Oryzias latipes: one gene and its partner. The protein of the gene in region 1 interacts with the protein of each later gene in a biochemical or structural test. Links are inferred from orthologs where the notes say so. Each region holds a gene or a part of one and is shown on either strand. Other genes may lie near its edges. The genes, in order: crkl and mitogen-activated protein kinase kinase kinase kinase 5.

The links.
Region 2: the proteins of crkl (region 1) and mitogen-activated protein kinase kinase kinase kinase 5 form a complex in vitro, tested with the Homo sapiens proteins (2 studies listed by BioGRID). The link is inferred for Oryzias latipes from reciprocal best matches to the Homo sapiens genes CRKL and MAP4K1.

The regions. Positions count from the first base shown.
Region 1 is NC_019870.2:17,494,283-17,511,001, reverse strand, and holds the start of crkl (crk-like protein), read right to left. Parts: upstream 8,149-16,719; 5' UTR 7,351-8,148; coding exon 7,040-7,350; intron 5,622-7,039; coding exon 5,147-5,621; intron 1-5,146. UniProt on the Homo sapiens protein: May mediate the transduction of intracellular signals.
Region 2 is NC_019871.2:4,809,031-4,825,711, forward strand, and holds the start of mitogen-activated protein kinase kinase kinase kinase 5, read left to right. Parts: upstream 1-8,359; 5' UTR 8,360-8,647; coding exon 8,648-8,755; intron 8,756-16,681. UniProt on the Homo sapiens protein: Serine/threonine-protein kinase, which plays a role in the response to environmental stress. Appears to act upstream of the JUN N-terminal pathway.

The DNA of each region.
Region 1 (16,719 bases):
AACCCGCACGGCGTTGATCTTTAGACATATTCCTTTAAACCGGGGGGGGGGGTCCAAACTCATTTTCACCGAGGGCCACGTCAGCAGAGTGGCTGTCCTCAAAGGGCCAGATATGACTTATACATGTAACTAAATGTAATGTAACTTAATGTCAAATGACTCATTTGTTTATTATAACTTTTTAAAGTGACAATTACAGTTGCATAGAAAACATGTTTGCTTGTTACTCTAACATAAATCCTTTTACATTTGATTCTGTCAGGTTAGGTTATATGGACAGTGTTTAAGCCTTAATGTATAGTTACCCAATCTGATATTTCAAGTTCAATTCCCCCTAGATATGAATAAATGCACTCCAATTTCTATTTATTATTCTACGAAATTAAAAACTTTTATGCTCTCGCGGGCCACATAAAATGACATGGAGGGCCACATTTGGCCCCCAGGCCTTGAGTTTGACACATGTGCTTTAGTTTTGGGTGTGACGGTAACCGTATCACCGCGGTGATGAGATGATCGCTGCGTTGATGACTCATCACTGCACGTTCCTCTTTTTTAAATTCTTTTTTGAAAGTTCTGCATATGGTGCGTGATTTGAACTATGATAAACACATTCACACATTCATCTTTGCTAATTATTAACTTTTTCTGCGAGTTCTGTGTTCAAACTTCAAGGTCTTCTGGGGGAATTTCCATTGTATTCATTTCCATTACAACTTGCATTCTTGAGTGTGCGACGCGGCCGCCCGCCAGAGGATTTTGTGTTTTTTGGGGGGGCAAGAGTCCCAACACCATGACTCGTGCTGCTCATCACCGCGGTGATCAAAAATCCCAAACCGTCACAGCTCTAGCTTTAGGGGGTGGCCACAGCCAATCAGTTTTCTCTACTTAGCACAGGTGGTTTGTCAAAGAGTTTGCCCTTCCAGACACAACCCTGTATTTTATCTGGGCTGGGGACAGGCACAGGGAGACCGTTGACCAATCGAATGGAGCTTTATTGTGTTCATTTTTCTCACAACATGCAGCCCTGGTGACAACATTAAAGGGAAACTGAAAGTTTGAACACATCCCCTCTTTAGCTTTAGCATCATTTAGCTACACCCGGTCCCACAGTCCAAATTATGAACATAGGAGCATAGAAATAAAAGGACAGGTTAACAACAAAGACATAAAGCTGGAATAAGAAGAATGAAACTAAAGCTTTAGCCTGAAAAACTGTCAAGCTACGCTCACACTGCCCTCTGCAACAAACATTCAAGTGGCCTCATCCAATGAAAAGTCAATGGAAATGTGCGTAAATCCACATCTGGGCTTCCGTGAGCAAAAATCACGCATAGCTACGCAATATTTTTGAGACCGCTTTCAGGCTCCACATACGTGCGGGCGGCCATTGAAGGTAAAACAACGTCGAACTTCGGCCAATCAGGGATTCGGATTTGGCAGTGACGTATTGGATGGCGTCCCGTTTAAGTCAAGGAAGTGCCAAACTGTTCATGCCCAACAAACCTCTTCCAACTTTAGGTTGCGGATAAGTGCTAGTAAACAGTTGAAAAAGTAGCCCCTCCCTGCTTGTCAAGTGTGAATGCCGTGGGTTAAAAGCATGTCACATGTCCGTGGCATCAAACGACAAAAACCAAACAAAAAAATCCATCCAATCATCTTACTTCAAAGAAACGAAGTTCAGTTCTACATGCTTTGTGCAGTTTCCCCTAACGTGAGCAACAAGACAATAATGACACAAAAAAAAATGTTATTAGGCTGCGAGCTATGACTTCTTCCCAAAACAGAGGCTGATGGGAGGAAAGACATGATGCAACAGAATAAGGTATGTGCTGTCAGAACTAAACAAGTAGGAGATAAATGAGTCAAACTGAAAGGAAAACACAGAAAAGCTTCATGTTCGGATTCTCGTTAGCTGCTGTGCAGCTTAAGGCAAAAATAACAGAGGCTGGAGAGTTTGTATACAGCAGAGTGAATAAAAGGGGTTGGGTCAGCACATGTGACCCACTTCCAAAGAGATGGCGACAGATTTAAGGTATATTCTACACACACAAGTTTCATGTGTTAACCATCTGAGGAAAAAATAGTCAAAACGGCAACATTTAAAAACATCAGTGGAGATTTAGTTTCATTACTATTCTATTTTGCATTGTCATTTCAATAAAGTTCCTTAGAAAAATCTAAATGTAAAGCAGCCTAGTTTTTTGAAACACTATCTTTTTGTTGTTGTTGCTAAAACCCAAACTGATAAAACTCACAACTGTAGCTAATAAACTTAACCCAAACCTTTAGCTCATAATTAATTGCCTTCATTAAGACACAGGACTTAAAAACTTCATTCAAGATCATGTATTACCAATGCTGATAAAATAGACAAGCCAGGGGGTGACGAAAACATCCCCTCCCCCAACAAGGTAAGAAAATAGGGCAAAAATGTCACAGTTGGGGCAAAGGAAGCCCCAGTTTACAGTAGAAAAAAAAATGTACAAGTTTACACTTTATTCATTTCAAATTTTTTTTTTTTTTTTAAATAGTGTAATCTAGGAATGGAATACTTTGTTGCTCCTGAAAAAAAAGCTTCCTTGATGGAGATAGAAATTGACGCAAACTGTTGATTTCCTTCCACACTCATTTCCAGCTTCCTTCTGGGAGCTCTCACACACTCGCTGCCCTGTTTGGTTCCCCGTCTTCATGTGTTTTTCATCAACTGACCTAACATTGGTGCCGACTGTGTTGCTGCCTCTATTTTGCATTTGTCTATTTATAAGAGCTGACACCAATACACAAGCTGCCACCACTGGTTCAAAACTTCTCTCTACTCCTCCTTTCTTATTGCTTCCAAAAATATAATGATAAAAAGAGCAAATAGCTGAAGCTTTTTAGCACACAAAAAGCCCTAAAATAAACCCAAAAAAGAGCCATTTTTATCAAAGTTTTTTAAAGTGGGTAAGACGTTTGTTAGTTTGGGTAAAATTATAGATGGAGAATAAAATCGAAATTCACCCCAAAAAAAACTGTTTTTTTGTTAAAAGGGCTTTTCTACAGAGTTGAATTGTCACTTGTGCATCACCCTGCCTTCAGTTTTAGCATGGTTGTCGTTTATTAAGCCTAGTAAACGACTTGGAGAGTGGGACCTAAAAGTCTCACCCTCCAAATTAAAGAGGGAGACTTTGACCTTTGACGTGAGGGGCAAGACGGGCAGGAGCCAGAGGGCAGAAATGGGACAGGCCTATATCAAGTGCTCCATCTTTTACAAACCTTTAGGCAACAATCTGTGTCCATGTCATGACCATATTTCAAACTAGTCTATGAAGGACTTTCTGAACTATTCTATACAACCATGGATTTGGTTCTGTTTCTGCAGGTCAACGACATTGAGCATCTTTACATGCTGAATAAATTATCAGACAATGGTTATTTGACCTTAAACAGTTACGATTAGAAAATTCTGGCCAAAATGTTATAGTACAATATGAAAAGTGTATATGTGGAAAGTAACAGAACTACAAAACAGGCAACACATTTTTGCTGTGAAGCATTTGGACTTCATAAGGGGAAAAAATGGTTGTTTCTCTGGGAAATATTAGGAATTTTTCCTTCATTTCAATGGCGTGTGCAATTCTGAAATCACATAAGCATATGTTCATGTAAGAAAATCCATTTCTGAGAGAGAATTCTACAAGTCTGACTTATGCCATTTCCACGATTACATCAAAAATCGTGTTAATCGCGTAAATAGTTCAAGAGTTACGATGGTCAAAAGAATGTCAACACTGGACCACTCCAGGATTTCAAAGTCCTCCCAGGTAGCCTCCGCCATGCTCCATTTTCACACAACATTTTACCATCAAAGCAATTTTAATATAAAGTTAAATAAATGTTCAGAAAGTGACTAAATCAACCGCAGGCACCATCTTATTTCTTATTCTATCAGAGAATTCTAAAGAAAACCACATGAAGATCCAACCAATCAGAAAGCTTCCAAGCTTCTGTTGTAATTCTCACCACATTATTTCTGCGGTAAACAGAACAACAGGTCGACAGCAGGTCATGAGTTAATAGCCAACGGTGATACAAACAGGAGTTTCACACAACAAGAGGTGTAGAGCATAAAATAGATCTCCTTTACAGTTTTATTGGCTATAAACAAAGATATTGATTGTAACTATGTGGTGGGAGTTTTCTGCATGTTACATAAACAACAGTTACAAAATAGTTCCATTGAGAAGGCTGGAGACGTTATCAGAACGTGTTTAATCTACTGCTTGTGTCTTTATTCAGTACTTCCAGTTTCGGATTTTTATTTGTTCATGCTTCCATTAAAAATACAGTGTTCAAAATCAACATGATTATTAAATGCTGACACATTTTAATATGAGCAATAGGCTAAATTAACATTTAGCTAACTTCCGTGTTGGACTATTTTCCCCCTCCGAGAAATCACCACTGATCTATTTCCTAAGTAGTTTTTCAAATGTTTATCACTTTCTGCTAAGTGAGACAAAAATCTACATCATAAAACAGTTGAAACTGAATATATTCTACTAGAAGTGTGGTCCAGGACTGTGTGTTAATACTGAGAAACACTTTAGATAAGCTCCAAGCTCATCTACAACTTAACTTTTTGACAGGTCTACACAGTAGCTCCCTTTTTTAAGATGCAGACCAAAATACCCCAAGATAACCAAAGCCTTTGCCACAACTTCAACTTTTGTTCCTGTTCAGAGAAAACAATCGAAGACATAAGCATGTTACACCTGACCTTCAAATCTAGCAAAACCACTGATGTGATAGACATGAATAGACAACAGCTGTCTCAGGGTGTCCATATTTTCAGACTACCCTCATCAGAAAAGAAATTTGTATACAACCACACACACTTCTTGAATAAATCTTCACACAATGACCCGATAAACCCATCATTTTAACTCAATGGTGGTCCTGTCTATTTGAACGTGATTTTTTGCTGTTGTCAATCCTAAAAAAGTGACTGGCTTCATGACAAACAGATGAATTCGGGGTGTATTTTCCCACAAGTCTCTTTAAATCTGAAAATTTTAAAAAACTCTCCCCAAGTAAATTTTTGGTGATGCAAAAGGACAGAGTATTTACATATAGAAAGACAGATAAGAAGGATTGAACTTACCTCTAGAGCAAGGGCAGTTTTGTCGTAGGCACAGGGCACACGCTTCTGAATGGCCTTTGCCAACACAGGACCATTCTGCATGGAGGGCAACGGGGCAATGACTGCTCCGGGTGTGCCGGGGGGCATGGGGGGAGAGGTCTGGGGCTGGGCATAGGCGTTAACAAGGGAGTGGGATGGCTCCGGGATACCGTAGCTGTTGGAGTTGCGCGAGCCGTGGGAAGGCTGGCCAGGATGGGGGGAGGGTCGTACCAATTTCTCCACGTAGGGCACGGGGATCATCCCGACGCGTCCATCTTTATTTTTGGCACTCCACCATTGTTCCTCTGGCTTTTCCAAAATGATAAGGATCTCCCCTTTCTTGAATGGAAGGTCCTCCGCGTCACTACCAGTGAAGTCATATAGTGTCCGCACGTACTCAAAGTTATCCTCTGGACCAATCATAGACTGGACCGGACCACCAATAGTGCTTGGGTACCTGAAAAGATATGACCCAACTGAAATGTTTTGCGTAGAAGAGTGTATCAATGGTTCCTTGTTAACCCTTTAATAGACATGAAACAACACATGCTCTTCAAACTACTGTAACTCTTGGACCATTTACCCAAGTAACAAAATTCCAACAGATTCTACAGTTGAGAAAACTGGCTAAAAATGCACTGATGCTTGCACTATACATGCATCAGTTTGTAGTGAAGTGTGCAGATAATAAGTGCATTATTGTTATCTTTTCCATTAGTATGATCTCCTTTAGAGATTAAACGTTAGTTCTTGGTCACGTACTATGTTAAAAAGTGCGACTTAAACTCCAGTGTGACTAATAGATGATTTCCCCCCTTCCTTATGATGTATTGTTTAGCTGCTGCAACTTATAGTTCAGAACATATGTTAATTGCCTAAACGGTTGAAGAGTTACTGTAATTCAAGACCATCAACACAGCAGCTAAAGTTACGGTGTCAAAGGGTTAAGAAAGGTATCATCTGCATGAAGTGCACTAATGCCTTGGTGTGTAAGAGTGTGTAAAAACACTAGAATACACACGCAAATGTACTATACCCTACAGGGGTGTAACGATCAATTGCCTTAAATGATTTCCAGATCGATTTATCTGTTGTTAATAGAATTGATCTATACCATTATTAAATTATTTCAAAATGACCTTCAAATCGATACAGGAAAATACCATTTGGATTGTTTATTTTTCTATAACGTAAAAACGACCTTGAGAGAGGACAACAAACGTGATAGCGGCAAAATAAATAAATAAATAAAATAAAAAAAGATCAGTCCATCGTTCCAGTTCAATTTAAGGAACTACTATGAATTTAGCTAAGACGTCACCATTCAGTGTGGTAGAATGTTCTAAAAATGGCCTTTGTATTATTCTTATGTGGAAAAACAAAAGTGGGCTGAACTTTGTTAGACTAAAATACATTTGCCATTAATTGTTGTTTACTTGTTTGTTTGTTTGTACACATATTTAATTTACACCTGATTATCTTCCAAGAAAGACAGGGAATCTGGAAGATTTCACCTGCACTGTTGAGTATCCAAGTATTTATCTCTGAGTCGAACTGGTTGAAATTTTGGCGAAATATGTCATGGTGGATTGATTTCAGGTCAGTGGATGATCGGATCATTCAAAATGAATCAATATCGACTATGAATCGGGTTGGCAACTATGAATTATGATACAAATCGAACTGTTACACCCCCTAATGTCACACACAGTTGTGTACAGATCAGGCTAGTTATTCATGAACATCTTAGCTAATGTTAAAACAAACTCAACAGGAACTGTCCAATAACATGCTAATTCAACGACATATTTGCTGAGGAATAACAGAACAGAAAGTGGTCGTCTACCGGGATGCTGGAAGACGTCACGATCGTACCTGGATGCTGGTTCTATTAGCGTTGTTGTGTCCAGGTAATGGATTTTGTAGAACTCCAGAAGGGCTGGGAGGTTTTCGAACTCTTGATCTCCTATCTTGAACCTCTTACTGGGCAAAGAGTTGATGATATAGTGAGATACTTTGGAGTTTTCGGACACCGACAGCACGTAGTCCCCGGGACAGGTGGACGAGTCTCGCACCAGAAACATGCCGTGTCTCTGCCCCTGTAACCTGTTCTGCGCCTCCTGTCGCGACACTGGTCCGAAATACCAGGCCGAGCGATCAGACGAGTCAAATCGGGACGCGGACATTTTAAAAAAAATCTTTAAAAAATAAGTTAATATAAAGAAGAAAATGAGAACTATTGAATAAGTTAGATTCAAACGGGCCTATCGCATCCAGCTGCAGTACTTGGCAGATGCGGGGTAGGGCGTTCGTCGCCCGAGGACCCGATTAAAACAAATAAACAAAAGATCAACCTGACGTTTTCAGCGACAGGCTGCGACCGACCTGCTGATCCAGCCCGGGAGCATAATGTGACGAGCAGCTAACGGCCCCGAAACGGACGAACATCGACGGAAACTGAAGCAACAAATGATCAATAAAGCTTCCTCTCGTTGTTCCGCCTTCCGCGAAAACTCACAATTATTTAGCTTCAGTTCAGTCAGTGTCAGTTACGAGAACGGAAAGGGTGGCCTCAGGCGCGTTCCATCTCCATGTTTGCAACTAAAAACAAAAATTGTGACAGCGTAGAGAAAGAAAATACCGACTCTGTATCCTCTTGGTGTCACAAAAAGGCGGACGTCACGGAATTGGGGTGTTTAACTCCCCTTTCTCGGGTCGGAGTAGACTTTTGAGGGGGGGAAAAATGGCGGCTCGCAACACGTCTTCACACCAAAAAATGATATGACGGCCGCCGCGTGTCTGCTGCGCTCCAGTTCTCGCGTGCATTCCTCGAGTGCCCGCGAGAGATCCAGGCGTGCCGGTTCCGTGCGATATCCGTTCTCTAATTTCAGCGGGTCCCGCTTGTTTCAGCCAGCAGAAAGCGCAAGCAGGACACGGGAAAAATGGCGACGGGAGGGCTGGTCCCGCTTTCTATCTGCACGTCACGGAGGGGAGCAGGAGAGGAAGGGGTGGGGCCGTGGGCGGAGGAAAAGGTGGGCGAGTGATGACGTTTCTGGCGGGCCCACTTTGATGTGTCACTGTTGTCATTTCATGTCCCTTGCTTTTATTATTGTGAGTAAAAAAAAAGTGTGTTCATTAATTTGTTTCGGATGCCCTTGTCTATATATTCTGTAAAACTGTTCATTTTCAATAAAGTTTTCTTTTTTAATGTGCCGGTTTAAGTTTTCTTTTCTTTTTCTTCCTATTCCATTTTAGACCTGACAAAACACCAACCAAAAGATGTGCGGCCAAATTTTCAATGATCGCACGGCTAATAAACAAAAGGGAATCGTGTGAAGCAGGAGTTCCTCCATTTAACCACCATGAGCAGGGCCAGAGCTACAGGGGGGCAGAAGGGGGCAGTTGCCCCCAACCAATTTTTGAAACAGTATTATTATTTTCACAAAGATTAAGAAATCATTAATGCAAGCTTTGTTAGTAATGGCACCTCAGCAAAAAAAAAAAATGCAGTGTTGTTATTAATAACAATAATAAAACTATGAAACATGGTTAACCCTTTCATTTGTAATGGCCTTCCTCTCTGCTTATCACATTTGCCACCCAATTAAAGTCTACTGCCCCCCCATATGAAATGTTTTAAATCCACCACTGATCATAGACTAGGCTACTATTCTGAAGTAAATAAGAGAGAAAAAATAACTTAATAAAACCAAACTACTCAAATATTGTGTGAGAAATGTCACAGTATACCAGGGGTCTGCAACCTTTGGGCTGATTTTTCTCTGACGTAAACCTGGCAGGAGCTTCAGTAGAAAAGTACATCAGTGCTTTGTGTTTGTTACTGTTATTTTTATGCTAAATAGAAGTGAACCATTGTTTTTGTTGGTTTTAGCCTGAATTCATCCATCCATGCATTTCCTAAACCTGCTGAATCCCTTTCAGGTTCAGGGAGTTGCTGAATTTGTCAGAGATTTTAAAGCAAAAATTTTTAGCTACACTTTCAAAACTCCTTATATCTTAGTGCTTAGATATTTTTTATGGCTGATACCTCTGCAGATGTGTAGCTTTATAATAGACTGAGATATAGACTCGCTAAAATGAAAAAGCCCGTTTTCTCTGTTAAGTATCTCTAAAGGAGAAAAAAGCATGTTTCTCTTATTTCATTTCCTGATGTTTCTTAACTTCCCCTTTCACTCGATCTTAATGTATATATGGTCTGGAATTGGACGGTGACACACTAATAGTAAACTGCTACTTGACTCAATAAGAAATACAACGGAAGGGAAAAAAAAGAGTTTTTAAAATGCAAAAGGCTGTGCCACATAAAAATCCTCCCTGACAAAACACAATAGTGGATTCATTTGACAGGCAAAACTCTGCAGCAGGGCTGCTACTTCTGCTCTGTGATGAAAGTAAAACACACAAAGAGGTAGCTCTGTGCTTGTGGTTTCAGCGGCTATGCCTTGTGAGGCTACAGATCAAGACAGTGAACCTCTCATCAGAGCGCCACTGCCAGAATACAAACGCTGGTCTGACCAACCGATTCATGCCAGTTCCCAGATTTCAGGGAAAATAAGCAACGAGGCAACTAATCTGTCACGGCGAAGGCAAGAAAAACAACTTAGAAACTGGCTGGTATTTTTTTAGAAACATCCTGATGCAGGACCTTTGGGCAAACCCCAGTGCTAGTTCCTTTTTTTGATGCTTCAGATCTTTTAGTTTCATTTAAATACCTAGTTGTTGTTTTTTTAATCATAAATCACCTAAATTTAAAAAGAAAAGCAAATCTGGTTGGCATTTAAAAAAAGGATTGAAACCTAGGATGTGTATTGATTATGGCCTATTATAGATTTGAGCAGTGTTTACTTTAGAAACATCTCCACCTAGTGGACGCTCTAAGAATGACATAAACACAAAATGAAAATTATTTTTAAGGTTGTTTGTGAATGCAGATATTTTGACCAAAGTAAGGAAAACTATGTGTGTTGGAAAATTAACAAAAAAAAAACATCTAAGTGGGACAAAAATATACCAAAAAAAGCAACATTCAACCAAAACGTGTTTTATTTTTAATATGTGGAGCAAAAAAGCAAAAAAAAATTTTTTAAAAACTTTTAGAAACACCTATTTTTATTGTATATTTTTGAACTCGTTCTAAAATGTGTTATATTTTGTGTTACACACCTTATGCTCACTTTGAACACACTTGTATTCATTAGTTTTACCAACAATTATGAAAGGAACAAACACTTGCTTGCTGTGGTTTGTAACCAAACTGTTTGTCTTTAGAGATCACACACTTTTCTCTGAAATGTTCAATCCCATTAGTTTAAAGCATAATGAACAATTAACAGCAACCTATTAGCTGCCTGGTTATTATGAGTTTCACATCCACTCTAGTTTTGTACAAAGAATAGAAAGGTAAGACAGCGTGTGAAGCGACTTTTTCTAACTTTTTGTACCATAGAATGAAGACACCACTGCTTTTTCTTTTCTTAAACTCCACTTTTTGCAGACTACTCACAAAACACACTCAGATTTAATCATTGCAATTTTAGATTAACAACCTAAAAAGGCAAACAGAGAGTGAACAAAGAATTGCAGTACAGTAACTATGCTTGTTTTATTCATTTGACCGAAAACCTTTGTGGCTTTTAAGGAGTTGGAAGGACATGGAAAACATTTTTGGCTACTATTTAGGCGTCAGGAATTCAGGTCCTAAAAAAGAAAAAGAGAAAACCTAAACCTGTGTAAACTTCATCTTAGACCTGGGGTCTGCAGCCTTTAACAGAAAAAAAAGGGTTTGTTTTCCACTAGTCTTCTTTTACCCTTTAGGACAATTTGAAACTGGTTTGCATTCATTTTGTGTGTTATTTTTTAAAATAATATATATGAATTATACTTCTGTTTGACATGAATAAAAACAGAAATATACAAAGCAACTGTGTTTTTCTGTGTAAATTGGGTTTACTTTTGATGGTATTTTATATTTATTCTTATTTTTACATTTCTATTTTCATCAGCCAGAGGGCCACAATAAACCAATTATAAAAGAAAAATGATGTGATGTGTTTTTTGTCTTTGTTACGACTGCGGCCTGTCTCCACTGCAGCTCGACTGCCCACCAAGGGGCCCTGAAGTCCCAGCATTTGGAATTGGGTTGTTTTAACTCTTGTGTTATCTTAGATGACCCCACCCTTACATTGACGTGTTCTCCCTACCATGACAAAGGTGGATAAAGGTGGAAAGATTTCATGTAATCCATGGACACCAGTGAAGATCACAAATCATTGAAGAAAAAAGGTTCAGAGCACTGTCTAGTGGGTCTAGATGGCCCAACTCCCAATGGTAAAGTGCCTATGATAGCACAAGGGTTAAAGACTGGTGCTCTACACAGCTGTGGCCTTAGGGTGCAGAAGTGGATTGGACATGTTTACCAGCTTACACCCTGACATGTCAAAGCTAGTACAGCTGATCTACGAATTCCATAAATGGAAGGAGCAGATCACGTCGCTTCCTACTGATTTGTCTGGGTGAGACAACCCAAAATAGAAAAAAAAACAGAAAACATTTCTGTGGTGTAAATGCTTCTTTAATTAGCTTTAAAGCTTCTGAAAAGAGCGCCGCGTTGGTTTGGAAAGTGTCAGGACAGCGTTCTTTTCAGGCGATCTCTGTGCAAACCCTGCGCCTTCCTCTGTCTATCGCTGATGTTGGAGCCCAGGCTCCGCTTGAAGGCTGGTAAAACCAGCCTCGTTGGAAAGGGTTCCGACCTGAGATATAAATAAATAAATAAATAAATAAAAGAAAGGTCTGATATGAACCACAATGGAACAGCCTGCTCCACACAGATGAAGGATAAAAAAAGCAGTTTCAATCAGAGCAGCACTCACATTTTCCCTGGAAAAAAACTGATGACCATGTTTGGGTAATTTCCTCTCCTCAAAAGAGTTACTGCAACATAGAAGGTTAAATATTTGATGACTTCACACTCCTGGAGTGTGGGAGCGTTTGCGCGGTGAGAGAGACTGCGGCGGATTTGCAGAGGCTGTAGGGAAGCGATGAGGAGCCCCCTTCACGTGTCCGCCGCCGTCTGGCCCAGGGGATCCCAAAACTCTGCGGCGTTTTCAAGAGCAAAAAATATCAGTGATCATAGCAGAACTTTCCTTATGAACTTCAGTAAGTCTTCTGTCCAACAGACTGATTTTACTTTCTACATGAGGTTATGAATCTTCTGACACACAAGGTGTATATTTATATAAACCCCTCTTGTGATTTAGGCTAAACTTTATTTCTATTAATTATATTTGTATCCGTTTTTTGTTGGACCGGACAGAAAAGAAGAAGAGCAGAGAAAACAGAGGGATGTCAGAGGGGGGGAGGGGGTAAGGGCACAAAAGAAAGGGAGAAAAAAGAGGGGAGTTACAGAAATAGGAGGACGATTACAGAAAAAAGAGGAGCAGAATCATACAGCAATGAAGTTTAGATTCATTATTGTCTGGTGTAAATGTTTTTCTAAAAGGGGCGGGGCCTGTCCACACACCAAAACGTTACGATACCACCACAGTTCACACGCATACAAACCGACACATGTAAAGCATTTCATTCAGTCACGCAAACTATTTGTGCAAAGGTGAGCTGACACCTGTGCTCGACTGAGTGTTTATGTTCTGCTGGGGTGGACCCCAGGCACGAGCCAGGAACGCCCCCAAGGGAGACCCACCCCACGCTCCAGGTAGCCACCCGCCCTGCGGGAGGTTCAGTAGAGAGCAAGCCCAAGAGGAGGAAGCCCAAATAAAGTGGGGGTCCCCCGAAGAGCGTCGTAAAAATGGCCCGACCAGGTTCACCCACTGAAATTCAGGAGAGGCCCAGCGCTCGAGGGCAAGGACCAGAACCAGCACCAGAGGGACACGGAGACCTCCACTCAGGGATGAGAGGGCTGCCGAGCCCAGGAAGCCAGCACCCAAGTGTGTTACACATGTATCACACGAGGAAGAGGAACTTCTAACATTTTTAGTGTCTATTCCAGGATGTTTTAATATTCTGCTGGGTTGCATAACATTTTAACCCTTGTTATGACCCCACCCTTACATTGACGTGTTCTCCCTACCATGACAAAGGTGGATAAAGGTAGAAAGATTTCATGTAATCCATGGACACAAGTGAAGATTACAAATCATTAAAGAAAAAAGGTTCAGGGCACTGTCTAGTGGGTCTAGATGACCCAACTCCCAACGTTCAAGTGCCTAGGATGGCACAAGGGTTAAAGTGCTGCTCTGATCATCTTTTGATCTATTGTAAAAGTGTTCCCAGTGGTCTTTTATGCTGTTTTTAGCCAAAATTAAAAATCCTGTTTCATATTCTAGTCCATAGTTTCTGCAGAGCAACAGGAGTTCAATAGAAATTCACTTCTGAAGTTGTAAGCAAGACTGCATCCATTTCCCATCATCCTTTTTACTACACGCTCTGCTGTTTACACACGCTAGCGGTGCGGGCAGTCCAGATACTTCCTGGAAGGGGCGGGTCCTCACTTTGGGACATCACAACGTGAGGATCCACTTGTTTTCGTGGGTTGGGAGGGGCTGGTGCTCAGAGTGCAAGTTTTTTAAAGAAATACTCAGAAATGCATGAATGGATGAAGATAGTGCTTTGGGGTTGTTTATAATGAACATTATAACACACTTACAAGCTCAGCAAGTTGACTTTACACAATTAGGCCCTTTAACATTTTTCAAAGTCCCAACACTACAATCACGCTGCGTTCAATTTGATCTCACTTTATGGAGGAACATTGAGCCCTCACTTTATGTCAGGCTGCTTTGGACTCCATGTGTCACAGGGAAAAACACGACGAACTGTTCTCTTCCATCTTCCATTTGCTCGTGTTTTAGCCCATCGTGTCGTATTTGTGTTTTTGCTAACACTTTTACCTCTTTCTGTCTAAATTTTGTCTTTTGACAAAGATTTGTGAAACCTTGAAATAATACATCTCTCTGTTCTATTATATTTGCTGTATGTTTACATAAAGATTTGGGGATTTTGTTTTTGTCATTTCAATGAGGGAATTTGCCTAAAGATGAAACCCTTCAAACACAAACAAATTCTCTAATATTTATAATAAGACTAGCCAGTTAGCTTGTCTTTTAGTCTGGATCAAGAGAGATTAGATAAAGGTTTACAATGTTAAATTAAATGTTGTGACGAGTGTTATAATACTAAGAAAGTGTTTACATGCTGGAATAATCTAAATAAATCATCTTTTTCCATAAATCTTATCCAGAGTTTGACTTTATCAGCAGTTTTTGACTTCGATTGAAATGAGATCTAAACACAGACTTAAGTGCAGCTACATTGACATGTATAAATCCGTTTCACACTTTATGAATATGTCTCCTAAAACTTAGGATGCAATCATGCATTAACTTAAATATGAGATAAAGCTGCTGTTTTAATTTTATTTTAATTGTTTCAGGTTTAAAACAATCCATTCTTATGGTGAAAATGAAGGAAACACAAAAAAAACTCTGACTTTTTTATAAGTAGCTCCAAATGACAAATATTTGCCTTTTTTTTACAAATTTTTTTGTTATATCAATAACATTATATTTTGACTCATTTATTTAGTAGAATATGGAAAGCAAAACGCACCTTAAATCGTTTTCCTGAGAGGGGCGTGGCTCCAGGGCTCGCTCCTGCATGGATCCACCTGTGTGAGCTTCACCTCCCTTTGCAGGAGCTTTCATGACTTGTTTGGCTTCCAGGCCTAAAAGAGACAAAATGTAAAGAGACACATGTTGATCAATTCGCCTATTGCTAGTTGTGTGTCTAAATCCTTCTTGGCAGGGCAGACTGCAACTTTCCTTTTCCTCTCAGCTTTGCAGGCTCCATTATCCGTCTGTAGAGCAACTCTACAACATTCAGAAGAGGAGACTTTTCAGCATCATGCAGACTCCACCTCATTAACACACACTCAGATTTGGAACATTATTTTTGAATAAACTTGAATTAGAAACTATTTTTCCCCATAGCTTTATGGATTTTTTTATGTAGATTTTAGCCTTTTCTTTGTTCAAAAGAGGCAGGTTATTGTTGAAAAGTATTAATTTGTAAATTTCAGGTCAAGACACAGATTTGTTTTAAAAAGTATTTTACTTTGAAAGAACCAACAGGTTTTCTTAATCACTTAATTTTCCAATGTTGTGAATTCCAATGCATCTGAAAGTCAAAGTTCAAGCCTGCTGCTTTGCACACCTTTGTTCTCCCTTCGGAGGTGGTCTATCTCTGCGTGGAGCTTCTGCAGGGTCTCCTTGTGTTGCTCCTGCAGGAACTGGATGCTCCTCTCCAGTGACGTCACGCGGCGGTCGGCGTGGCCGGTCTCCTCTGGCGCCGCTCTCATCCCGGCGTCGGTTAACGGCATAACGGGCAGAGGCTTGAAATGCTGCTGGCTCACTAAAACACGTGGAAACGGGAACTGGCGCAGCGGCGGGAAGCTGGTCCTTGACATCCCGAAAGCCTCTGGAACGTACAGTTTCTTTTTTTCTTTTTTTAACCTCAAGCTAGCTGTTTTAAAAAATTCACATTATGTTAATCAACCTTAACGTTTTAATAAAAATATGAATGAATAAATTAATTTTGTTCTAACTTTAAGTTATTTGTTCTGCTTGAAAGCATCAAACAAACCAATAATGACTCTCAAACTCCTCAGATAAATATAATGTGTTGCCATGGCGACGTTTCTGGTCAGGTGTGCGGGGAGTTTCCCCTGTCGTATTGACAAGTCTCACAGCCAATCACAGTAAAGAAGAACAGGACAGGATAGTGGGGCAAGATGGATGGATAAATTAATTAATTGATCTAAAAGAAAATTCTTGCACGTTTCCATCTTGTTTTTACGATATCTAATAGTGTACATATATCCATTTTTTGATTCTCCAAACCTTCCATTTACCCTCTTTATACCACCAAAGGAAACAAGAGATTTGCTCATTTCTTCTTACTGTTTTTTTCCAACCATGTAAAGTTCCATCAGTGACATCTTGTAAACTTTTTTAATCACATGTAAACCTTTGCTTTATTTTAAACCCAACCCGTTCCATAAATCCACACCACAAATTGACAAGCTCATTTTTGTTTTTTTTAATACAAATGCTGGCTTTAAACAAAATGAGTGCTGTTTTAACCCTTGTGCTATCCTAGGCACTTTACCATTGGGAGATGGGTCATCTAGACCCACTGGACAGTGCTTTGAACCTTTTTTCTTCAATGATTTGTGATCTTCACTGGTGTCCATGGATTACATGAAATCTTTCCACCTTTATCCACCTTTGTCATGGTAGGAATAACACGTCAATGTAAGGGTGGGGTCATCTAAGATAGCACAAGGGTTAATTTAATGCCAGTCCTCATATTTTCTATCTTTCCAATTTATTTACTAAAATGTTTTGATCAATAGTGTCAAAAGCCTTTCTCAGATCGATGAACACTCCTTCTGTGAACTCTTTATCATCTGTGCCATTTAGAATTTCTTCAGTTAAATGCGTAATCGCCATGGATGTTGA
Region 2 (16,681 bases), on another chromosome or scaffold:
TAAAATTATGTGAGGAAAATGCAACGATGGACGTGTTTGAGATTAACCAGCGCCTCACCTGGCTCGATGGGGAGACCGGGGGGGGGGGGGGGCGAAGGCCAACTACAACAGAAAGTTGTAGTTGTTCTTAACATTCAATTTAGTTTTATTGTGCCTCTCCCCCTTAGTATGATCTGTGTCATTATATATTTTATATTTATTTGAATGTTTTGTAATGTTTGTAACCTTTTTTTAATCAATTGGTATTTTAAATTATTTTAATTGATCACTCAACTACAAAAACCCATCAGGACACATGTCCCATAATGCATTGTTTTGTAGTCATCAGGGCAGCTTTCAGTCAGTGCAGTACTAAATTTCCAGCTGTGTTCGCGTAGGTTGGCGCCTTGCTCCCACCCCTTTCTCGTGATATATAGTGGCTGACCGGCTGCCCTACAATAACTTGTGACCGGGGTTTAAATGTGCAAAAAGTCATAAAGAAAATCCAAAAATGTTTACTGAATTTTGTTTCTCCTTTACTGATTTGTGGTTTAAAGAGTAAACTTTAAAAAAAAACATTCAACACAGACTCAAAATAGGGAGCACATACTCTCTGACTTCTCCACCTTAAATTTCAATAAGTCCAAGTACCATCCAGATTTACTGACAATCATCTTCATCCACACTGAGGGTCTCAGCTGTTTGGGAGGAAATGCTGCCAAGTGTCCAGCAGTAAGAAAAAGACAAGAAAAGCTGTGTTCCGAAGATCCCATTGATAGAGGTTACAGAACTGTAGAATTGGAGTCATCTTTTGGGTTAATAGTTATAACTCAACATTGTAACCGAAACTTTTTAATAAGGATGTTTAACTGAGAAAACAGCAGATATAGAAGACTGAATAAAACAAGAGTTGAGGCCAAGGAAGCTGTGCAAACATGGTTCAGTCAGGGTAAAAGGTCTAGGAGGCCAAATTACAAGAGCTGGCCTTCTGAGCCTCCTAGTGGAACACAGGAGGATCTGCTCTAAGGGGGAGTGAGTAAAGGCTCAAGTTGTTTAGACCAGTGTTTTTCAACCAGTGTGCCGCGGCACACTAGTGTGCCGTGGGAGATGGTCAAGTGCGCCGTGGAGAAATTGCCCTCATTCACTGATCTAAAAACATTTTCCATCTCCAGGATATCAGCTCTGTGTTCATCCAAACAGGCCTTGATAAAACACTGAGTAGTTAGGAATATAAAAGATCTTAAAATTACTTTTATTTAATTCTATTAAAAACATTTTGATAAGAATCACGGTACCGCGATTTAGCTGCAGCTATAACTGTGTAAGGAAAAGTCCCGCCCCTTTAACTGTCTCCGCCAATCATTCTTGAAGACTTAATCACATGTCATCAGTCTGACCAATCAGAAGTGGTTAAAGTCTTCACTTCCTTGTTCTTAATTCTGCTGATAAAGTCGCTCAGTTCTAACAAAAATACCAGCTAAAGCTCGTCTTTAGCTGGTATTTTTGTCGATCATAACAGACCATGAATTTCTGCTTTTCTTTTTTTTTGGATGCTGGTGTGCCGCAGGATTTTTGTCAGGGTTAAAGTGTGCCGTGGCTCAAAAAAGGTTGAAAAACACTGGTTTAGACCTACATGTTCTAGTGGAATGTTATTGCCAAGTGCCCCTAATGTTTACATACATTTAAGTATTGTTTGTAACTGTGAAATGACCGAAAGGTTGCTACGGTAATCACTTTGTTACTAAGCACCTTTTTTTATTCTGAATGTATGGTATTTTGTTTAGTATTTTTGCTGTCAGTTTACCTTGTTGTTGCATCTTCAAAAGTGCAGAATAAAATGTGACACTGAATTTGAAACAGCAAATTGTAATTTCTGCATCTATTATTAAAATATTTATTAGTAATACAGTGGAAATTAGTATATTTGGTCAGCATGTTGATTTACGGTTATGCGCCCCTATATTTTCTGGTTGTGCCCCTAAAATTTTCAGTTGGGGGCCACAGTGCTCCTAATGAAAAAAGTTAGTCTGGAGCCCTGAAGACACATTGTGAGTCAGGGTGATGGGCACTCAAAATGGAATGAGAAATGCTAAATGTCTCCAACATTTGTTTAAATGTGTTGGAGTGTTTCTCAATCGAAAGACCTTGCGGAGTTTGAAACGTTTACCGCAAAGACAGAGGCACTGTGTAGGCACTGATCAGAATGACCAGATAGAGAAAGTGAACGCCTGCATCAGTGACATCAAGACCTGGATGACAATTAATTACCTCCTCTTGAACCCAGAAAAAACTGAGGTCATTATACTTGGTCCTAAAAACCTCAGAGATGCTCTGTCTGCTCAGATAGTCTCCTTGGATGGCATAAGCATAGCCCCTAATTCCACTGTTAGAAACCTTGGGGTTTTATTTGACCAGGATTTATCATTTAAGGCTCACATATCTCAGGCGTGTAGAACTGCCTTTTTTCACCTGCGGAATATTGCTAAGATCAGAAATATACTTTCTAAGAGTGATGCTGAAAAACTCCATGCATTTGTTACGTCGAGGCTGGATTACTGTAACTCCTTGTTAGCAGCGTGTCCTAAGAGTTCCTTAAAAGGTCTCCAGCTTGTTCAGAACGCAGCAGCTAGATTGTTAGCTGGAACAAGCAGAAGAGATCACATCACTCCTGTGTTAGTTTCGCTCCATTAGCTCCCAGTTGATTCTAGAATCAAGTTCAAGATCCTCCTGTTAACCTATAAGGCCTTACATGGAATGGCCCCGTCCTATATTAAGGATCTCATAGTCCCTTACTATCCAATAAGAACACTTCGTTCGCAAAATGCAGGACTGCTTGTGGTTCCTAGAATTAGTAAAAGTACGGTTGGAGGTAGAGCGTTTAGCCACCAAGCCCCTGTCTTATGGAATAAACTCCCAGCTCATATAAGAGAGGCCGACTCAGTTTCTACATTCAAAGCTAGACTGAAAACATTCCTCTTTGGACAGGCTTATTGTCAGACTACTTAGTATTCAGAGATTATTTAACTTAATGTTAATTTGTTTAAATTAAACTTAATAACTATTTCTTTTAAAAGGCTGCTAGAAGTTGAAGCTGGGGTAACTATGGTGCACTGGGGTTCTGTCCTCTTTTCTTTTCTACTTCTACCCTTCCTCTCCTCTATTCTTGACCATAATTTATCATTTAGTTCTCCATGCCTCTGTTTGGTACAGTGCGATTCATGTATTGTCCCTCTTTTCTTCTCCCCTCCTGGGGAGTGGGAGTGCTTCCAGACTCCAGTTGGTTCATCCGTGCTCCAGTTCCTGACAGTTTACCTCGCCTTTGCTCGCGCTCCTACACCTGGCTGTGGATCCTGCCTCTGGCTCATCTCTGGCTCGTCTCTGCTCTGTGCCTGACCGAGTACCTCGTCTCTGCTCCTGCTCCTACACCTGGCTGTGGATCCTGCCTCTGGCTCATCTCTGGCTCGTCTCTGCTCTGTACCTGACCGAGTACCTCGTCTCTGCTCCTGCTCCTACACCTGGCTGTGGTTCCTGTCTCTGGCTCGACTCGCGCCTTTGACTGTCCCCCCAACCACGGCTGGATGAAGCTCGTCTGCTGGACTTTTACATATGTAGTTGAAGATTTAGATAAGTTAATTCTTCTCTTTGATTTCTGGCAAATCGCCTGTCCGTCCTGGGGGAGGATCCCTCCTTCATGTGGGCACCCCTGAGGTTTCTTCGTTTTTCCGGAATCCGTTTTTTTGGGAGTTTTTCCTTTCCGGGAAGGGGCGTCTAAGGGCAGGGATGCCAGTATAGCTTAGTCAGTTTGTTAGTTCATTTTAGTATTTTACTATTGGACTCTTTGTATTCACGATCCTTTTGAGTTCGTGTTCCACTTCGAAGCCCATCGAGACGACTGTTGTTGTGATTTTGGGCTATACAAATAAAATTGAATTGAATTGAATTGATCAGCTGCAGATCTTCTGGATTATCTCCATATAGCTCATTAATGACACAACACCATACTTCTTATACATTTTAACCCTTGAAACTGTCCTACTCCCCTGTCAGTCTGTGCTGCTTTCCCACGAGGCTTACCTGCTTCCCTCGCAATTCTTTCCTACTCCCCCTGTGGATCTGTCCTACCCTGCTGTGTTTAGGACCTAACATCAAAACTGCTTGTTTGTCCTTATAGACCTACAGTAGGTAGGATTATCTGATAACATAGGACATTTAAAAAGCTATATCTATAATTTTGTGCTATGGGTAGGAAAATCTCACAAGGTAGGACAGATCATTAGAACAGTGGCATTGTGGTAGGAGAAATCCGCTGCTGTCTGTTGTTTATATTGCAGTCTTGAGTAATATAGGAATATCTTGAGTTCAGAGATGCTACCAGTGTTTTGTTTTTATATATAGGCCTCAGTGAGCACATTTTTGACATGATGTGTGAGTTTGTTTTAAAGTACTTTGTATATGTTGTAACCCTTGTGCTATCCTAGGCACTTTAACATTGGGAGTTGGGTCATCTAGACCCACTAGACAGTGCGCTGAACCTTTTTTCTTCAATGATTTGTTATCTTCACTGGTGTCCATGGATTACATGAAATCTTTCCACCTTTATCCACCTTTATCATGGTAGGGAGAACACGTCAATGTAAGGGTGGGGTCATCTAAGATAGCACAAGGGTTGATAAATGAATGCTGTTAAGCTTTTCTAAAAAACCTTTAAGCTTTTATCTTGTTATCTTGTCTCCCCCCCCCCCACACACACTTTTTACTGAACCGAAAAATGATCCGAACCATGACTCTAAGGCTACGTTCACACTGCAGGGCTTAATGCTCAATTCGGATTTTTTGAAAAAATCCGAATTTTTTGCAAGACCGTTCACATTTCCAAGTAAATCCGAACTTTTTTGCTCTCCAGTGTGACCGTGACACGACCCAAAACTGACCCGCATGCGCAGAAGAGTACTCAACGGTGAACGACGTCACTCGTTGTTTGCGGAGCAAACGTGAACAATGGATGTCAACAACAGTGTCGTCAACAGTGGAGCTCTTTTGCAAATCGTCTGTACCCACTGTAGTAGAATGAGGATGTGTTCGGGCCGCACGCGCCGTAGAGACAGGAGAAGAGCGTGTGCAGCGATGGAGAATGGGGGGGAGCAGTGTGGACGCGCATTCAGGTTGTGTGTTACGGAGGAAGTAGAACGGTAATAGAAGAAGGTTTCCCCCAGAATAAATGCTATTGATTCTTTATTAACCCGCTCTGGAGAATCCTGGAGAATTTAAGGGTCAGAACAGGGAGGAGGAAGAGGATCCGCCTTGGGTCCCCCGCGCTTCTGACCACGGTCGGAAAGGGGAGAAAGAAAAAGAAAAAAGTAATCGCGGGAAATGTTCAACACCACGCTCGGCCAGATTTAGCTGGAAATTTTTCCAAAAACCGCCCGGTTGCGATAAGAGCCCTGGAGTTTGGCCTGAATAGAGCTGTCACCCCAAAGATTTATCCAATCGGGGACATCGCATCCCTTCCACCGACTGGTCTCAGCAGCATCGTCTGCCATGGTTGTTGTTTATGTTTCGTTCCCGCCTACTTCAACGCACAATGATGACGTTTGTTGCGTATCGATGACCTATGGTTCGGAATCAAGCCGCCTGGCCGGTCAGACGGCGGTCGCAATTGAAAAGATCGGATACGTTTCGGATTCAGGACGGCATACCCAAGTGGCCTGGGTAGTAATTGAAAAGATCGGATCTGTGTCGTTCAGACTGTCATAAAAAGATCGGAATCGGGTTGCATAGGGGCAAAAAAAATCGGAATTGGGTCGTTTCAGCCTGCAGTGTGAACGTAGCCTAAAACAGTAACACTATCTGAACCGTGAGTTTTGTGTTACATTGCACCCCTAATAATAAACATTTAAAGTTGTTGTAATGCACTGATTGGTACTTTGTTGATGACTTATGCTGTCCTATCTAAATGTGGTACAGTCTGCTATGAAGCAGGACAAGACTTTTATAAAAAATATAAAAAAGTTGTTTATGATGAATAAAAAGTGTCAATTTTATATGCATTTTCAGCTTTTTTGTTGTTGTTTCTTTTTGTTTTTGTGTCTATTCCTGATTGCTGTGTTTCAGTTTCCCTTTTGGAATCAAAGGAACAATAACCGGTAGCATAATAGATTTACGTCTGGGTTAAGGTGGAGGCTGTTATTTGTGGTCATAAGACCTGTTTACTGAGTCTACCACATTTAGGTGGAGGAGGCCGTTGGTTGACAGCTGAGCTGTGTCTCATGAAAAGAAATTTCTTTCAGTTGAGGTTAAAACTTTGGTGCGGTTTGTAAAGTACTTTATATCAGTGGTACCCAACCTTTATTAGCCCACGTACCGGTTATTATCAGAAAATATTTTCACGGATTAGTCCGAACAAGGTCAAAGTTGGCATTTAATCATTTTTAAGTTCCTTGTTTCTGAAATATATATTTTTCAAATTAAAATGCTATAACATTAAATTTAGTTTAAAAAGACAATTTGAAACTGTCTGCAGATACTTTACAGATGAAGATTAGATGAAACAAAGATGTTGATTTGTAGAAGTTGTTTTTGATTTGTAAAATTCAGTAAAGGCAATTAAAGGTAATTATTATTATTATTTTTTTTCCTAGCATGCCGTTATGACACTCAATACAGGCTCGGCTTTTTTTCATGACTAAAAGATTAATCTTTTTTTTTTTTTTTTAATAAATTTTAATTCATTGTGTTCATTAAAATTCTTAAATGTCCCTTTTACGAGTTTCCACAAATCAGCAACTTTATTTATTGAATCTTTATTCTCTGTAAGATATTTGCAGCTGGTGTACACTAAGACTTGGTGTAGAACCCATTATAATGTCCTGTAGACTTTCCCTTAAACCTCAAAGTAGAGGCTATAACAACTGGACGCCAACTTAATTTGTGTCCGACTTTTAAGGTGTGATGAATAAATAAAGCAAAATAAAACGACCCTACTGTCATAAAGCAGGTATATTTAAATATTTTGAAGGCAAATCCAATGTGTTTGAAACTTTATCATCGGCGTATGAGTAACAGTCAGTGGCCACATAAATGCAATGTGTGCTTGGTACAAGGGAACAACTGTCCAAATAAATCCATACTCGGAGGAAGACTCCTGTTTTTGACTGTAAATAGCAGATTTCTCTATTAAAGGTCAAATACTCCATTTTCTCAACTGCTTTTTTTAATAGCTTTTTTAGTTATGGCCTTTTCATTTAGTGGCACGAGCATTAGCAGCTTTAAGAAGGTAGTGGATGTATTTAAGACACGTGACCAAGGCGAACAACTTGACATGCGTCAAGTGCTTTGACTGTACATGAGGATATACAGTCAATGGTCAAGAGTAAGTCGTAGAGGGATGTGGTGGACAGAATTTGATAGTTTTCCAAAATAAAACTTCCTTCAGAATCAGAAATTAAAAAAATAATTCAAAGTAGCATACAGGATTTATTCTTTTTTTTGTCAGTGGCCAGTGCAAAATGACCCATGGGCCAGTACCAGTCTGATGCTTGGAGGTCAGGGACCACTGCCATATAACCCTTGGCCTTCAGTGCAATGATTCTGTTCTATTGTTTTTATTTATTCATTTATTTGTTTATTGATTTACTTACTTACTTATAAAATATTTTTTAGGGTCTTATTTATATTAGATGTCCCCAACAGCAGTAGGCGTGTTGTAGGCTACAAAGTCTGCAGCATAGCTGCACATGCTTCTGTCGGTGCACCACTTCCAGCTTCCACACTACAGCACAACTATTTCCTGAATTCTCATGAAGCTTTCTGCAGATTCTTCTGTTAACCAGATGATGCATTAAAGCATTTCTCTGAACTAAAGCTGCACTTCTTTTTACAGGTGCTTTTCTTTCTTACCGGCATTCTTACCATATTTAACACCTTCATTTGCACCTGTCTAAAAGTTATAGCTCATTAAAAAAAAAAAAAAACTGGTTGTTGCTTGTTAACAGGATGTGATGGGTGCCCCCCTATGAACAGGATATGAACAGGAAGCCGAAAAGGGAGCTCCAAGCTTGAGTGACTTTTCTTGCAGTGCTGCAACACACACACACACACGTTGTTTCAGTGGGTGTAAAGATGAGACTGAAACCACTGCAGAAAAACCCCAATCGCAGTTGTACAGTGACAAGTCAGACATCTGCAAGCACTGACTCTCCTAAAGGCTGCCGTACGTGTTCACTCACGCAAAAATCTGGTACGCGTGAAGCTGTCGGTTTAGCTTGAGATCAACTGACTTTTCTTCTGCAAAATGCAAAACATGCGACTGTGCAAACGGCAGTATTCTGTGCGTTGGTGATCTATAGAAGTGCTAAATGCAAACAAAACAGGAAACAAAGTTCAATTATGCAAAATAGCTGCGAAAATATGTCTGAGAGAGAGAAAAGGAAGGTGTGCGATTGAAGTAAGGGAGGATCTGCGAGAGTGACTGAGAGAACCAGGAAGACGTGCGAGACTGGAGCTGAGCCAAGCACCAGTCATACTCAACATAAGGGCTCTCGTTTTGCAGCTCCTGGAGCTCTTTCTTCATAACTCGCCTCTGCTGAGTGGTCGTCGGTCTTAGATGGAGTGTGTGAACGTGTGAGGGGTTGTTTGACATGCCCAAGGGGGGGTTTTAGTGAGAAACAACATGGATTTCCATCACAGGGCAGCTCTGGATATCTCCACCAAGAACCCTCAAGATGATTTTGAGATCCTTTTAAGAGTTGGAGGTGGAACCTATGGTGAAGTCTACAAGGTCAGAGTCCCTGCTGCTTTTTATTGTCTTTGCAACACACACAAAAATGTAAATTAGATAATAATCTGAGAAACTATGGCTGGAGGGAAGGCTGTGTTTAAGTATAGACTTAACCCAGTAAAATGGTTTAAATGGGGAATATTCTAGACTGATACAATCTCCAGTCTGGCTTTTTTTTTTTTACTTCTTTTAGTTTTCTACTAAAACTACTTCTACTTTTAGTTTTATTCTAATTTGAAATGAAATAGGATGAGATTAGTTTTAGTTTCATTGTCATATTGCAGCTGCTTCTTTACTGCAGCTTACTCTGTCAGAGGAAGTGATTCGTAACATGAACTGAAAGTATTTATATCTCTTTTTTTTGCCTTAAAATAGTTTTTTGCCTTTGCCGAAAAAGACATCAATCTACTATTAAATGTCAGATTTGTTGAAGGTAGTGAAACTGTATTTTTCTGTGGAAAAGTGAAGTTGTAGTTGAAGCAGGGAAAATTGTACTTCCAGAAAGAGTTACACTCATGTAAGGCCTCAGGGGGTGTTTGTAGAGCAATTGTTCTGATCTATAGATGGGAAGGATTGTATTTGTTTAGGACCCACTTGGTCCACACCAAGCATTTGGCTTGTTAATAGATCCAGATTTCACACGTAAAATCGAAAACTTCCAGTTGAAAGTTGCTTTATAAAAAATCAGATCCATTATCTTCAACTGTGAAAATGTCCTCAATGTGGGTCAGTCTTACCAAGCATTCTGTAGTCCAGAGGTGGGCACTGAGGGCCGCATTCCTGCATGTTTTCCAGCATACCCTGCTCTGGCATGTTCTAATTGGATGGACACACCTGAACCAGGTAATCAGCCATGAGTAGGGCAAGACTATCTGGAAATCATGCAGACACACCGGCCCTCGAGGCCTGGAATTGCCCACCCCTGCTGTAGTCCAAGAATCTTTTTATCTATCAACTTCTAAACATTTTTGTTGGGTTATCCATATATTGTCAGCTGGTTTTGAATCTGCCTGCGGTGGATTGGCGATGTGTTCACGGTGTACCTCCCCTTTGTCAAGTACTGGGATAGGCTCCAGCACCTCAATGATCCCTAAAAGGATTAAGTGAGTTTAGAAAATGGATGGATGGTTTTGACTCTGTTTATTTGTGAAGTTCGTAAAAAGTAAAAAGAAAAAAAACAAATTGTTCTGAGTCTTAAAGTAAATGTAAAAATACATTAAAAAAAAGATTGTCTAAGAAAAATTATCTTTTTATGTAGCAAATAATCATAGTTTAAGAAAACAGTGACTAAAAAATGTTTTTTCTTAAGATTTTTGTGCTTTATTGATAGAAAATCTGCCAATTGGGTAAAAATGTTTGACTTATTTTTTAGGGGCCTGTTTTTGCAGTGCAGTCAGCAGTTAAACAGGTTTTTCCTATTTATTATGAATGTGCAGAGGCTATAGCAGACTCATACAAGCGCTCACAGGCCAAAGTGCTCCATAATGCTTCACCAGTACAACTGAACACATTTTGGTATAGAAAAAGAAAGTCAAACGTAGACGTGTCCAGAATATTGTTGGCTATGGATTTATTTGGACATTTCTTCTTCTAACATACATATTGTTTGTTGTAAAGCATCTGGAAAGAAACTGGTGATTTGATGACGTACATTAGTTTGTTTTTTGGAGTTTGGTCACGTCTTCCATTGCCTCTGGAAGATTGGCGCCAATGCTTGGCAGCGAAGCCGCCATCAGTGCGTGAATGTTTGAATGGGACTGAGACTGTACACTGCTTTGGACCTGAATAGGAAGTCCATGAGTAATACTACTAACCGTCTTGTTTTCAATTAGTTTAAAGACCCAGTCCGGTCATCTTTTGGTCTATTTTCAAAGCGTTCTCAGTGGTCTTTTAATTATGATTATGCATTTTTTAGCCAACATTTTAAAAAACTCTTCCGTTTTCTAGGACAGTTTCTGCAGAGCAACAGGAGTTAATTTGAAATTCACCTCAGAGTTATTGGCGGGACCATAGACGGAGAGCAACCCTGCCCCCATTCCTGTAACCTATGAATGAGACCTTTCTATTTACCTAACATTAGCAGTACAACAAAAATTGCGAGCAATATTGGATCAGTCCAGTTGTACAGTTTTGAGCCAGATTGCAGTTTAGAGGAAAAAGAAGACGTACATAAAAGCTTGTGGCCTGCCCAGTGTACTGTCTAGGTCACAAAAACAATCTTTTTTCAAGCGACATAACTTAGCCTTCACCATGATTTTAATAAAGAAATACTTAGATATGGAATTTTGAGAAGTATGTCCTCCATCATGGGTAAAATGCTACAAGAACACCAAAAGCACAATTTTTTATCAGGGTGGGTTTTTTAATTAACTCTACCACTTTGTGTTTAAACCTGGTCTTCATTGGAGGAAAGGTTACAAGATTCAGAATTTGAGAAAGGTTTGATGGTTGAATAGAACCGATATTGACACATTGACATTGGTAACAGAGAAGAGCCAATAAAGTAAAGGCAACATCTCTCTGCTGCTGCTGAAAATGTGCAAATACCATTTGATAGTTCATCTTTGCAAATTTCTGGGATAACTTTTAAGTATATTTTTGTCCAGTTGAGACCTAAACATTTCAATTTTTTTTAACAAAAAGCTTGAATTTGTATAACAAGTTAAAAATATGAAATTACCTTTCAGGAGCTTTCAGATTGAAATGGTTTTTCAGAGATACAGAGCAGTTTCCCAGTTGACCAATCCTGTCCACACATGACTGGATTTTATTGTTTAGTTTTTACTGGAATGTAAAAAGTAGCCTTTGCTTCTTGTGCAGACACGCACACTGATCAATGCATATGCAGTTGCACCCCCACACACAGCACTGCATGCTGCTCGCCACGTGTTGTTTTTCTCTCAAATTTAGCAAAGGTTCCTGCTCTAAATGCCACACTTCTACATCAGCAGCAGTCCTTAGAGTGCAGCTCTTTCATTTAAACCTTGTTTTAGTGATTAAAGCAGCAGATGTTTTCTACTGAAGGATGAGTAACAAACTCCACTCATAACTCAGCAGACCACTGATGATTTGCAGATACTGATACTTAAAATCCTCAGAACGCTTAAGATTGTATTGTATTTAGAGAACGATGAAAGAATATTGTTCAATTGTATGTGCAAAAGCAGTTATTGATCTCTTTAACAACAACTGAAGCTGTACATGAAGTAGCTTTTTCACGTTCTCTACAGTTTCTAAAAAACACTCAAAACACTTCAGAAAACAACAAATTATTTGAATAAACAAATCCTGTAAATGATTATTTATGAACATAGAAGTTTGCGGGTGTTTTGTCTTGGTTAAAAGATTTTTGTCCATATGTAGGGCCATAAGGACCTGTAACTGTACATGAAGCAAGTTAGCGTTTCAGAAGAATTTTGCTTTTCTGTGTTTAAATATTATCAATGGTTTCTCGTCAAATTTATTTACAATTGTTGAGAAATAATGTGATATTTTATAATCGCATGATGGCATGAAATCTTTATGAAGTCTTAAGCTGACTACTGTGGGTCAGATGACCCTGCTTCAGCTAAAGACATCTCTGGTTGTACCATTATTTGAACATTGGAGCTCTGAAGCTACATATACACTGGTTATTTGACACCCAAGAATCTGCGTTTAGCCCATTGTGTTTACGGTGGACAAGTAGAGAGGGGCTGTTTTCTAGCATATCTCCACCACCTATAGTCAGAAGAGGCATGGTGCCAAATGCCAAAGCGGTACAGATCTGGTGAATTTTGCTCCAGGCTTTTTCTTTCAAAGTTACATTCCATTAAATGAAAAACTTTGGTGTTGTAGAATTTCAAATTGGCAGGAAAAACACAATTATTAATGTCTCCTCTATAATTAATATTCAAACGGTTGGCACCTCCATGAATTAGAAAAGACACTACACACGTTTCACTAACAAATCCGAGTCCATGATTGGTCAAAGTTTGATCTGGTTTAGCTTTTAACGTACGTTCAGTAGCTGTACGTCTTGCACGTGGAGCAAAACCGGTTGTGAGCGTAGTCATAAAAACTTCCCTAGGCGTGTGAATGTGAGTTTTGAGCATGGATGGCCGAAACACGCATTTACACACCTTTACACGCCTTTACATAGACTTCATCTGAAGTGGTTGCTTGAATGCGCATTGCTGAGGGCAGTGTTAACGTTATTTTGGGTTTTTTAGGTAGTGGCTGTTGTCATCTGTCAGTCCGTTGGTGGCAGCTCCAGAAAAGCATTTGAAACCCTGTTCAGGATCTACAAACACCCTGAGGATATTAATAAAGCGGTCACATCAGACCACATATATTTCCATCAACTAAAATGAGACCGAGAACAAGTAGATGGCACATGCAGATGTACTAATGTTGCTGTTTTTCTTATTTTGAGTCTATTTACTGAAGATGCAGACAATGATGTGGCCAATATTTAACCACATCTGTCCAAGCATTTTAGCAAACATGGATTTTATAATCAACTACTGGACATCAGAAATTCCTGTCAGTGGACTAAAAAGAATGTTATTCTTTTTCTTTCAGTTTTAAACTGACCATAAATTAGAGCATTTGGAGAATTTCTTGGTGCTAAATTGTTCTCGTCTTGAATTTTCTTCTGTGTTCAGTGTTGATAGTAATCTGTTGAATGTATCCAGGTAAGCATTTTACAAAGTGAGCGTTTGATATGAAGGATTATCACACACCCATTCTAATAAAAATTGTGTTTTTGGTGTTTTTTTTTTTTAAATGTTCTTGTAGCATTTCTCTCATGATGGAGGAGGTTTATAAAAAATGTAAGATTAAGACAGTGTTTCTGAGTATTTGTTTATTCGAATTGGGATGAATCAGGTGCAGACGAAAAGATGTTTGAAAAAGCTCACAGTTGTGACGTAGAAACTGAAATAAACGAGCCAAGGTTTCCCTGCTCTGCTCCAAGTCTGATATATCTCACATGTCTTCGATCCGGTTCTCCGAGTCCCTAAACCCCATGATTAAGGGGGGGAATTCTGTATACTAAAATCCAAGAAGTTCGATAGAAATTTTCTCTAGAGTTGTGGGTGGGAAGGTTGGCGCAGAGCAACCCTGGCCCCCTTACCATCACTGTTCTGTGTACGCTCTGTCCTGCTAGCTTACAGCCCCTCACACCCTCAACCTAACATTAGCAGTGCAAATAAACAAGCGAGCAATATTGGAGCTATCCAGCCGTACGGTTATGCACCAGGTGCCAGTTCAGACGAGAATGGTGTCGTACATGGATCTAGTCATCTACAAGTGTCTGCATCAGAGTGGAGTGAAGGAGGATGGTTGTGGCCCGCCGATTGTATTTTCTATGTCACAAATACAAACTTTTTCCAACTGCATTTTTTTTCATCTTCTCCTGGTTTGAATAAAGAAATACTCAGAAATGCAATTGTAATCTTAATTTACTTAATAAATGTGTCCCGCATCATGTGAAAAATGCCACAAGAACATGTTGAAAACGCAAAATTCATCGGAGTGGTTTTTTAGATAACAAAACATTCCTATTTATGTCAGTTTTTCTGCTTAATGATCTATATGATTTTAAAATTACCTTGTGCAATTTTAAGATGTTAAACGGCAGATTGGCATCCAAACAGCTGACATAGTTTCCATGCCAAGTTGCTTTTCAACATTTAGTTGCCCTGATCTTCACGTCCATCACACGACTATGGTTTAGTGGTTTCAGTTTCTCTAAAACCTACACATCATATTAGGAATCTGGGTGTTATCATGAACTCTGACTTAAGCTCTTACAGTTCCAATAAAATGTAAGGATTTTCCCTTTAAACACAATAGCAGAATCAAACACATTTTGTCTAAACCAGACCTAGACTAACTTATTCAGGTTAATTCAGATTAATGGTCTCTTCTCTGGACTCTGCAAATGTGCTGTAAGGCAGTTCAACCAGAACACAGTTGTTTGGGTCCTGAAAACCAGGAAGTACGACCATATCAGTCTTTGTCCTCACATCTTTGAACTTAACTTCCTGTTGCTTGGGCCATAGACATCAAAGCTGATCTGCTTTTGCTCGAGTCTTTTTGTGGTTTAACACCAAAGTATGTTGCTGACACGTGGTCCCACATGAACCACCTTGGACCCTGAGAAACTCAGACCTTCTGCTGTGCCCCAAATCACTAAAATGTTCAAAAGCAGAAGCTTTAAAAATGCAGTTTGAAAAAGATTGTATTTGTGACACACATCACATATGCTGGTGGGCTTGTCTGAGCTGGCATCTGGGTCAAAACTGGACGGCTGGATTGCTCCAATGTTGCTCGCCGTTTTTGTTGCACCGATAACGCTAGGTTGGGGGTGTGAGGGGCTGTAAGCTAGCAGGGGGAGTGTGTAAACAGAGAACTCTCAGCAATAGGTAGGGGAAGATGAGAGGGTGTTGCTCAGCACAAGCGGTGCCACCCACAACTCAGAGGTATATTTCTGAGCTACTGCCGCTCTGCAGAAACTATGTCCTAGAAAGCCACACAGGTTTTTAGATTTTTGGCTAAAAACTGCCTAATCATAACTAAAAGACCACAGCAAACGCTTTGAAAATAGATCAAGTCTTTAAGAGCTTACAGTTATTGCTGTTAAGATGTTTTTCCTGCAAAACAAATCTAGTACCAGGATGGCACATTTATAACAAAAAAAAAAGCTGTAGGTCAGAAATCCTGCACACACGCTGCTTTTTATCCATTCTGCAAACCGCTTTGCTGTATCATTTGTTTAGTAAAACTTAAAAGAACAGAAATATTTTTACAAGTAAATGAAAAACATGTTGAAACTTTTGCTTGAGATTTTAAGATTCTGCATTGTCCAATATTTTCGTTAAATGTGTGCAGATTTTAAGTAATTTCATCTTATGAATTAACATGTCTTAACAATTTTTTAAACTCCATACAAGTGCATAATAGAATTTTAAATCATTGACTAATGCGTTCCTTTTATGCTGCTTCTTGTAACTATTGTAAAAAACTGCTTCATAGGTATTTTTTTTTGTTGTGTGAAAACTTCTTTTAGTTATTAACCAAAAAAAGGTTTGGAAATTGAAAAAATACACTGGCATTGAAGGAAATCTGATAAATTACATCCTGAATCAAATTATTTCTGGACTTTGGTTGTGATATTGCATTTAATGAACACATTTTAGCTGTGCACTGATGCTCATTCAGTCAGGCTTGGTACATTCCCTGAATATGTTTAGAATGATAAGAAGAAGAAGTTGGGTGGTGTTAAATATTTTATTTTGAACGGAACCTTTCCCTCTATTGTTTAGTCTCCTATCTCGGAAAAGATGATGTTGTCTTTTTAGGGCATAATCTGATACCTTTTGGGTTTACAGAGTAAATATAACCTAGCAGTAGAAGAGTTTTCACCCTTCTTTCTGGACACCATGGTCAGGTTTTAAGTTAAAACTTTAAGCAAACTACCTTTTACAACATATAAGTAGAACAATTTTTTCTTAAAGAAAGGAGATGAAGTTCACAGATAAACAAGTCCGTGTCTTGGATGGAATTTCAAAGATGCACGCAGAGAGATTTTATTTTTGCAGTTCAAAAACCAGCCAGGGCAGATTCTTTTTGTCTGTTCTTATTTGTTCCAACTCCCACGTGATCTTTTGGAGAGGTCTTTGCGTTGACATTTCCAGAAAAGAACATTTTCTTACTAGCCAAACCAGTTATGAAGACTTAACTTCCTAATTTCTTGTGGTGCATGAACTGAGCAGAAAGCAAAAACCCTGATGGGTTTGTGGCTGGTGGGGCTTTGATGTGAAACTATTCCTATTTTGCCCCTCCTTTAGCAAACCTTTAAAGACTTTTTGATTTTTCTATTGAAGATTATAAAGGAGTCTGCCCTTGAGCTTTATTAATTAGGTTTATTTCCTAGCACCT